Linked DNA regions of Cricetulus griseus. Each later gene encodes a partner of the first gene's protein in a complex. Links are inferred from orthologs where the notes say so. Each region holds a gene or a part of one and is shown in the gene's direction. Other genes may lie near its edges.

Region 1 (4,643 bases):
TGGTATACTGTAGATAGTAAATATTTGTTGTTTCTTTTTTTAAAAAAGTATTTATATATTTCTACAGTGTTCTGCCTGCACATCGGAAGAGGGCACCAGATCTCATTATAGATGGTTGTGAGTCCCATGTGGTTGCTGGGAATTGAACTCAGGACCTCTGGAAGAGCAGCCAGTGCTCTTAACCTATGAGCCATCTGTCCAGCCCTTGAAGTTTATTTTTAATATATATGTATTCATGTTTTTGGTCTGCTTGTGTGTCTGTGCACCGTGTATGTGTCTGCATCGTTTATCCTGGAACTGGAGTTATAGATGATTGTGAGCCACCATATGGGTGCTGGGAATTGAACTGGGGTCCTCTGAAGGAGCAGCAGCCAATGCTCCAAATAACCGAGTCATCTCTGGCCTCAACATTTGCTAATTTAATTAAGTGAAGAGATTGAGGGGATCGGAATAGGATCAGAAAAGGCAAACAGGAAGATAAAGTTTGTATTTGGACTTTGAAGACTGTAATCTCTGATTTGGAGGGACGAGTGTGTGCCATCTGCCTGCGAAGGCAGAATTCACCTTAATCAAGAAACTGCCAAATAAGGAACTTACAGAAATGGCTCAGTGGCTACAAGCCGGCTGCCAGAAAGCCTGACAACTTGACTTCAATCCCTACGAACCATATAGTGGAAGGAGACAACCAACTTCCACAAGTTGTTCTGTGACCTCCACATGTGCACCATGACACACGAGTTCACACTCATATGCGTACTCAAAATAAATAAAAATGTAGTTTTGCCAGGCATAGTGAAATACGCCTTGAATCCTAGCACTTGGAAGGCAGAGGCAAGTGGCTCTCTAAATTCGAGGCTAGCCTGGTCTACACAGCGAATTTCAGGCCAGCCAGGTTACATAGTGAGACCTTTCTCGGTCTCTCGGGGACACACACACACACACACACACACAAACAGCACACACACACACACACACACACACACACACACACACACACACACACACACACACACACACACACACACACACACACACACACACACACACACACACACACACACACACACACACACACGCAAATAGCTCCCGAAGTGAAGCACATCCCACTCAACTCCACCATGCTACTCGCCCCTCGCGAGACACTGAAGAATTTATCTTGATAGATCTTGGGTTCACAAAGGTGGCCTTGACACCATGTGATCACACTTTGGCTAGAGGATCAAAGGATTCAGATCTAGAGACTGGGACAACAAAATCATGTGACTCGTCTCCCGGATCACGTGCCACGCGTCCTGTCACGTAGGTCGGGCTTTTCCATTGGTTGGCGATGGTCACGCGGAGGGGCGGGACCGGAAGCCGAGATTTGGCTGTGGGGCCAGAGAGGCTTTGGGACAGGCTAGGCGGGGGAAGGGAGCGGGAGGCCGCCGCGGGTCATGTGACCGGAAAGACTCCTGACGGACGCCGTCCCTCCTCGGCGCCGCCTGAGCGCCCGGCCCGACCCCGCCATGGGGTGCTGCTATAGCAGCGAAAACGAGGACTCGGACCAGGTGCGGCCGCGGCAGGCGGGGTTTGGGACTGTGGGCTACGACCGCGGGACCCGGGGCCCAGAAAAAGCCCGCAGCGGCTGGGAGCTGGATTGCAGGCTCACCGAGTACGGAGGCCTGGAGGGGACAGATTACGGAGAGGACGCCAAGCCGTGTTCCTACCCTCTTAAAGATCCTAGTCTTACTCCAGCCTGGGGTTACGCTGGCCGCCGCCTCACTCGGCCCCTCCCCTTCCATTTTTCCAGTACCCTCGTACTTTCACAGCTTGACTCTTCAGACTGGGTGCCTGGGAAGCAATCGCTTTCCTAGATTCCTTTGCCTTCACTGCTGATTGTATAAGTGTACTTTACGAACCCATTCTAGAGATAGGTAATTTGAGGCTCTTAGTCTCCCAAGGTAAATCAGAAATTTGTGTATATTCTGTTACTGGTGTTAGAGGTGTAATGTCACTACTGGCCTGGTGTCGGAGGCCTCTGGAAGTTGGTGGCATTTGAATTGGGCAGTGAAGAATTTGAGTGAGGACATCAGAACTTTAGGGGAGCAATAGAGTTTAGCTTTGACCGATATGGAGGAAAGAGGGTATAGGAAGCTCATTTTGGTTTGGTTTGCTGTTCCCTGACTGTGCCTGAAGGTTCCTCTAACTAGAGTGCATCCTGAAAAATGTGACTGTAGAGTTATTCCTTTCGAGAAAACATTTCCTTGGAGAGACTTACAGTGTTTTGCATTTTAAATTTTCCAACTTCTCCTTGGTGCATTCTTATTGCTTTCCACACCACATCCCCTACCCTCCCTGACCACTTTTGAGGAGGGGAAACTTGCAAGGCTGGGTCCCAGGCCACTGGCCATACCTCAAAGCCTAAGTTCTGCTTTCTACACACAGTAGGCACTGAGCCACAAAGAACAGTTTCACCCAGCCTAGTGAATACAGTCAGGGAAATAAATAGTATCACTGTACCTGGAAAGTTGTTCTTTCCCTATGAAGGTACTTTGGGTTAAGAACTGCAGTTCAGGAAAATGTGATTTGTATGGCAGGCTGAGTGGTTCCTGATTCTCAAAAACATTATTTGACCTGAGTTTGACATGCCTTGTGGCAAGAATCTTTCCCTTCATTCTGGCCTGCTAAAAGAAAGAACAGCAAAAAATAGGAAGTCACCACAAAACATCAAAAAAATAAAAATAAAAAGGAGAGGGCATTATTCCTGCCTAATGACAGAGTTGAATCGGAATGGAACTAGTGTCTCTTACAGCATGTGGTCTAGTATGGGAAAAGGATACCTACTTCCAGGAGGGAGAGCTCGCCTTGCTTCTCTCCTGAAATTCCTCCTTCTCCTTGATTCTTATTTCTTGCCGAAACAGGGTCTTATGTAGCCCAGATTGGCAAACTTGCTATGTAATTAATGACCTTGAACTTCTGAGTTTCCTGCTTCTGCCTGAGTGCTGGGATCACAGGCATTATCTATGTGTCATCTATGTCTAGTGTATGTAGTAGTGGAAATCAAAGCCAGAACTTTATGCTTGCTGGGCATGTACTGTACTAATAGGGTCATAGCCCCAGCCTCCTCTTTAAGTAGGCCCTCCTATTTTCACTATTGTCTGTCCTTTTATTATAAAAAGCCAGCCATCCCTGTTGGCTTACATTTATAATCACAACAGTTTATGAAAGCTGAAGTGGAGAACTGCTTCCAAGTTTGTGGCCAGTCTGGCTACATAGTGAATTTGGGGCCAGTTCTGAGGTGTACAATGAGCCTGTGTTTCAAAGAAAAAGAGAAATTTACAAACATGGTTTTCAGAGGGTTTTTACATTTACCTGTTATAAATTAACATATGTTTAAAGCTGAGGAAAAAGTTCAGAGGATCTAAGATTTGGCAAACATTAGAAGTGCTCTAGCCAAGTTGTTTCCAAGCACAAGACATATGCTTTATGTACTGGGAGAAGCTCCGATGTAGTCAGTTGTGGGTCTGTGCTAAAGTAGATAAATCTTGACTCAGGTTGTATTGGCTTGGGAAGCAAACTTTCTCTTAAATTATTTATTTATTTATTTATTTATTTATTTATTTTGAGACAAGGTTTCTCTGTGGCTTTGGAGGCTGTCCTGGAACTAGTTCTTGTAGACCAGGCTGGTCTCAAACTCACAGAGATCCACCTGCCTCTGCCTCCCGAGTGCTGGGATTAAAGGTGTATGCCACCACTGCCCGGCAAATAATTTATTTTTTATGTGCATTGGTGTTTTGCCTGCATGTCTGTGTGAGGGTGTCAGATCCCCTGGAACTGGAGTTACAGACAGTTGTTGAGCTGCCATGTGGGTACTGAGAATTGAACGCAGACCCTTTGTAAGAGCAGCTGGTGGTGCTCTTAAACTGCTGAGCCATCTCTCCAGTCCCAGAGGCAAACTTTGATATGACAGACTTACCCCATGTACTACTCATTGTTTGGGTATCAGGTGATGTCATTAACTTTTTTTGCTGGCAGGTGTCTATGTAGCCTTGACTGGCCTGGAACTTGCTATGTAGACCAGGCTGGTTTTAATTCAGAGATCTTTTTTGCCTTCTGAGTTCTGAGATTAAAGATGCGCACCACTACTCTTGCCTCAGTTTGTCTGCTATTTGGAGTTGCTTGGCCTTTCAGGAAATTCGTAAGACAACCTTGTTCTTGAACCCCTGATTGGGGTCCTGCAGGAAGATAGGAATGGGGCTGGGAAAAGCAGGCATAGAAAGCATTGTGGGTCTCATTGTGAGCCAGCTTTTCTTAAAGATCCTTTCATCTTTGGCAAGCATTTTATCTTCCTAGCCTGTTAATACTGAGAAAGGAGAAAGGTTGTCTGGGAACCTGGAGGTAATGGGGCAGAAGGCCATAGCTGCTTCCTTTTGCCAGGGTGAACTGGGTCAAATGGCCTGAGGAGGAAGACCAAGGTGGAAAGGCAGAGCCTGTCTGGGGTGGGGCAGGCAAGACAGGAGGAAGTAGCTCTCTGTAAGGAGAGTTGTGGGCAAGGGAGCTGGCTCCTGCAGCAGGGAACTGGTAGGAACTGAGACAGGCTGTGAGCAGAGTACTGAGATTGGCAGTTGGCCCCTGAAATTTGATGGGTCAGCATTGGCTAGCAT
Region 2 (4,604 bases), on another chromosome or scaffold:
CTCACCACGCGACTCTCCCGGGGGAGCTTAGCCACAGCTCACTCGGGCCACACTGTGCCTCGGCGCCTGGAACCTCCACCAGTAACGGTGGCGCACTCTACCCTCAAGCCGAGGACCCTCGGGGCGCCCGCATGCCAGGTGCCTCTTTCTCAAGCTCCCCCACCACGCCCCCAGCCCTGGTAGCGTGGCCAAACCCGTCGCACCACGCTCGCCGGACTAGCCCAGGCAGGGCGCCCCCTACCCGCCTCGTCTGCCCTCGCGCAGCTCGGATCCCCGTGGGCTCCGCCCCGGCCGGGGGCCCGTCCCGCAGCCAGGCCGTCCCCGAGGTCTCCATCTCAGCGCTGACCCCGCGGTGCGCCGCTCCCGCCCTCCTCCCTCCAGCGCCAGCGGTACTACCTCCTTGACCGAGGCTCGATCGCAGATCACGATCTCCTCCTTGTCCTTGGGGGTCTTGACGGTGACCCGAATCTGGGGCCTCGTCTCGGCCCCGCTCGGCTCCGCCATGCCGCCACCCGGCCGCCCGCCAGCCCGCCCGGCTCCTCTCCCGGCCCGCCCGGCCCGGCTCGACTCCGGCGCCTCCAACTCCCCCTCCCGCCCCTCCCCAAGGCTCCGCCGCCCCCTCCGGACAGCCGCAGCCACAGCGCCCCGGGCGGCCCGGGGGGGCACTGCAGCTGGGGCGGCCCAGGACCGAGCGGGGTTCGCAGCTGGTCAGGGCAAGCTTCTCCGGAGCCCAGAGGGCGGCGTAGCGGGCGCCGAGCCTCGGCGATGCCCGCGGCTCCCCCCCGATCGGGACAAAGGACTTTCTGTGTCGCCGCCTCATCTCTGTTCCCTGGGGTAACTGGGTTTTCTTAGGAGGCGGAATCTCTGCCAGGCCTGGGGTCGTTCCTGGATCTGGACGCCCTTAACACCTCTGCAGGCATAGCTATGGCCCGAGGGGGCCATCGAGGACATCCAGAGACCTGGAGTTTGCCTACGTGGCTTCTCTGAGCCTTGGGTGTCAAGACTGCAGTACCGCACAGAATTGTGACCATCGTGCAATACTGATTTGAAAAATGGCCAAGGGTGTGCCTAGCAAACACAGATCTTTATTATTATTGAATCGCGGGCTGACTAGTAGGCACGAGGGCGCCCTTTTCGTACAAGGGGTTAAAAGTCCTTCCAACGTCGCCTCTGTCCTTGCACTCCCGCTCTCCACCCCCCCTCCCCGCCTCATGGTCTGGCGAGGAAGCCAAACTATAGTTCCCAGAATTCCTTGAGCGGTCACAAGAAACTATAATTCCCAGCTACCCCCCGCGCGGGGCGGGGATTGGGCCAGAGACTCAGTGGGTAGGCCCGGAGACTACAACTCCCAGGGCGCCTCGCAGGTAGGCTTCTGGGCCACCGGAAGCGGCTGGCGAGCTGCGGCCGGCGGTGACGGGGTGTGTGCCGGTCAGGGTTAGGAGACGCAGGCATGCTGCGTCCCAAGGCTTTGACGCAGGTGCTAAGCCAAGCCAACACCGGGGGAGTCCAAAGCACCCTGTGAGTGCACAACAAGGACCCGAGCGGCGAGCGCTGGAGTGGGGCGGCGCGCGGCTGCCTGCAGCAGGGGTAGGGAAGTAGCCCTCCACCGGGAGGAGGCTGGTCGTATGAGCGGCCGTTTCGGGAACCCTACGTAGGGCTCCCCTCGGAAAGGGAAGTCGACGAGTGCGTAGGGCATGTTCCAGGATATATTCCTAGCAGATCCTGGCTTCCTAAAAGCGCCAGTAGCGGGAACTGGAATAGGAACCCAGGCGTTTCACTCTTGCTGAGTTTGTCGATAATCCTTCTCCATCCTCGCCAGGCTGCTGAATAACGAGGGATCCTTGCTGGCCTACTCCGGTTATGGGGACACAGATGCCCGGGTCACCGCGGCCATCGCCAGTAACATCTGGGCTGCCTACGACCGGAACGGGAACCAAGCATTTAATGAAGACAATCTCAAATTTATCCTCATGGACTGCATGGTATGGAGTAAAGTAGGCTGACCTCGAACTGCAGTGATCATCTTTCCTCAGTCTCCCGAATACTAAGATTGCAAGTGTGCACCCCTGTACCTTGCCAAATAAGTAATACGTAGATATTAAAGAAGGAAGAAAGAAAAAGTGAGAGTAGGGTTCAGATAGATGAAAGGGTGACATTTCCTAAAAGATTGGAGGAAGATTGGAGAGGGAAGGGAATCAGCCATGCAGCGATCTGTTGGAAAAATATTTTTGACAGTATGGGACATGGTTTATGCCTCTAGTCCCAGCACTTGAGAGACTGAGGCAGGCAGGTGGATCTCTGCAAGTATTTCCGACAGAAAAGCAATTGCAAAGGCCTTAGGGTAGAGTGATGCTTGGACAAATGGATACTCCATCAGTAAGGATGGTGTACCACAGAATGAGGAGATAGAGCTAAAGAGGCATGCCTGGTTCCTAGCACCCTGGACAGTGATGGCATGCAGATCCGAAGCAGTTCACCTAAGGGCAAATGCCCCTCAGAAAGCTCTTCGTTGTTATTCAGGCAGCCCTTTACACCACTCCTAACCATTGCTGACTCCTGCTGGGGGCTGAATCTAGAGCTAAAGCTCCAAAGACATTCACTACAGCCCTGCCATAATAAGAGTATTTTAAAGAACTTAGGATGGAGCTCAGTAGTGGAGCTCTTTGGGGTCCTAGATCCATTCTCAGACAATTTTTGTTTTTGAGTCAAAGCCTAATATACACATTGATACACACACCTAAAACAAGTTTCAGGAAACATCACTTTTCTTGCTGCAATGTGAAGTCTGTCTTTTTTTTTTTTTTTTTTTTTTGGTTTTTCGAGACAGGGTTTCTCTGTGGCTTTGGAGCTGTCCTGGAACTAGCTCTTGTAGACCAGGCTGGTCTCGAACTCACAGAGATCCACCTGCCTCTGCCTCCCGAGTGCTGGGACTAAAGGCGTGCGCCACCACCGCCTGGCAAGAGGGTTTTTTTTAAAAATAAGTATTTATTATGTATACAGTGTTCTCTCTGCATGTATCCCTGAAGGACAGAAGAGGGCACCAGATCTCATTACAGGTGGTTGTGAGACACCATGTAGTTGCTGGGAGTTCACCTTTGGAAGACCAGGCAGTGCTCTTACCACTGAGCCATCTCTCCAGCCCTGTATGAGAGGTTTTTTGTTTTTTTTGTTTTTTTTGTTTTTTTTTTTCTTCTCTTTTTTTAATTAATTTTTATTTTATGTTCATTGGTGTTGGGGTCCCCAGGAACTGGAGTTAGTTACAGATAGCTGTGAGCTGTCATGTGGGTACTGGGAATTGAACCAGGGTCCTCTGGAAGAGCAGTCAGTGCCCTTAACCGCTGAGCCATTTTCCCAGCACCCCTTTATGAGAGTTTTTCCCAGGTGTTATATATGTGTACCATGTGCATGCATGGTACCCCCAAGGAGGCTAAAAGAAGGCTTTGGATCCCCTGAACTGGATGCACAATATAGGTGTTGGGAATTGAATCCAAGTCCTCTGCAAGAGCAACAAACAAATTGGGTTATTGTTCCTGGTACCTCACTTGTTGAGACAATTCTTGGCATTAGAGAAGAAAACCCATTTCTGGGAGACTTGGTTTCCCAGAATAACTTGATTAGGAATTGCCTGTGCTGAGGCAGTGTCAGGCCCTTATGTATTAAGAGCTGGGCAAAGCTTCCTAGATGAGTTTCCCGCCCAGCCAGGCTTGAAGACAATATCTCTAGGATCAGAGGAGCCCTGGGGAAGGTAGGAACTAAGGATGCCAAGCAGAATGCCTCAATGTATCATCCCCACTAGGAGGGCCGTGTAGCCATTACTCGGGTGGCCAACCTTCTGCTATGTATGTATGCCAAGGAGACTGTAGGCTTCGGAATGCTGAAGGCCAAAGTGAGTACATTCCTATGTTACAACCTTCCTGGGCCCAGCCATAGTCCCTCTTCACTGTGTCCATTCCCTACATGTACCCCTTTCTGAAATTCTCATATCTAGTCCGTGTCTGAAATGGGCTGAAGAGCAGTGGGGGTGGGCTGGGGTCTGGTTGATGCTCATTGTGGGGCAGGGAGCCAATTTGGGATACCTCTAAGCATAGGCCATGCATGGACTGACATGTGCTTTTCCCTCCTTGCAGGCCCAGGCCTTGGTGCAGTACCTGGAGGAGCCCCTCACCCAAGTAGCAGCATCATAATAGAGTGATGGAAGCTGGAGTCAGAGGACGGATGGTGGATGGGAGGATCAGGGCCCTAGAGACACCTTACTGGACTGGTTACAGGAAGGTGGGACTCTGGCTTTAGCTTTTTTACAAATAAATTTCAACTCTTGCCTTGTGTCTAACTGCTTTCTTGGATGGAAGAACTCAGGCCATGGGAAGGAGTGAGTAAATTATTTAAGGGATTCATCCTCTGCAAAGGTGGGTTCCCTCATCTCCCATCACCAAATCTCCCAGCAGTTCTTGGCAGGGCTACCCAGTGTAGTTGACTTCTCCAGTGCTGGGCTTCTCACTCCAACCACTCAGAACTGATTTTTCTCCTTCTCCCACCCACGACAGGATTTCCTTGTGTTGCTTTGGCTGTCCTAGAACCAGCTCTGTAGACCAGGTTGGCCTTAT

The links. The genes of interacting proteins can lie anywhere in the genome.
Region 2: Lamtor1 (region 1) and Lamtor2 share a complex: the UniProt entries of both Homo sapiens proteins name them as parts of the ragulator complex. The link is inferred for Cricetulus griseus from reciprocal best matches to the Homo sapiens genes LAMTOR1 and LAMTOR2.

Annotation. Positions count from the first base shown.
Region 1 is NC_048596.1:97,475,863-97,480,505, reverse strand, and holds the start of Lamtor1 (ragulator complex protein LAMTOR1), read left to right. Parts: upstream 1-1,389; 5' UTR 1,390-1,505; coding exon 1,506-1,547; intron 1,548-4,643. UniProt on the Homo sapiens protein: Key component of the Ragulator complex, a multiprotein complex involved in amino acid sensing and activation of mTORC1, a signaling complex promoting cell growth in response to growth factors, energy levels, and amino acids.
Region 2 is NW_023276806.1:65,955,388-65,959,991, forward strand, and holds Lamtor2 (ragulator complex protein LAMTOR2), read left to right. Parts: upstream 1-1,357; 5' UTR 1,358-1,450; coding exon 1,451-1,518; intron 1,519-1,819; coding exon 1,820-1,982; intron 1,983-3,796; coding exon 3,797-3,886; intron 3,887-4,127; coding exon 4,128-4,184; 3' UTR 4,185-4,324; downstream 4,325-4,604. Other genes in the region: Ubqln4 (ubiquilin-4), read right to left, coding at 397-504. UniProt on the Homo sapiens protein: As part of the Ragulator complex it is involved in amino acid sensing and activation of mTORC1, a signaling complex promoting cell growth in response to growth factors, energy levels, and amino acids.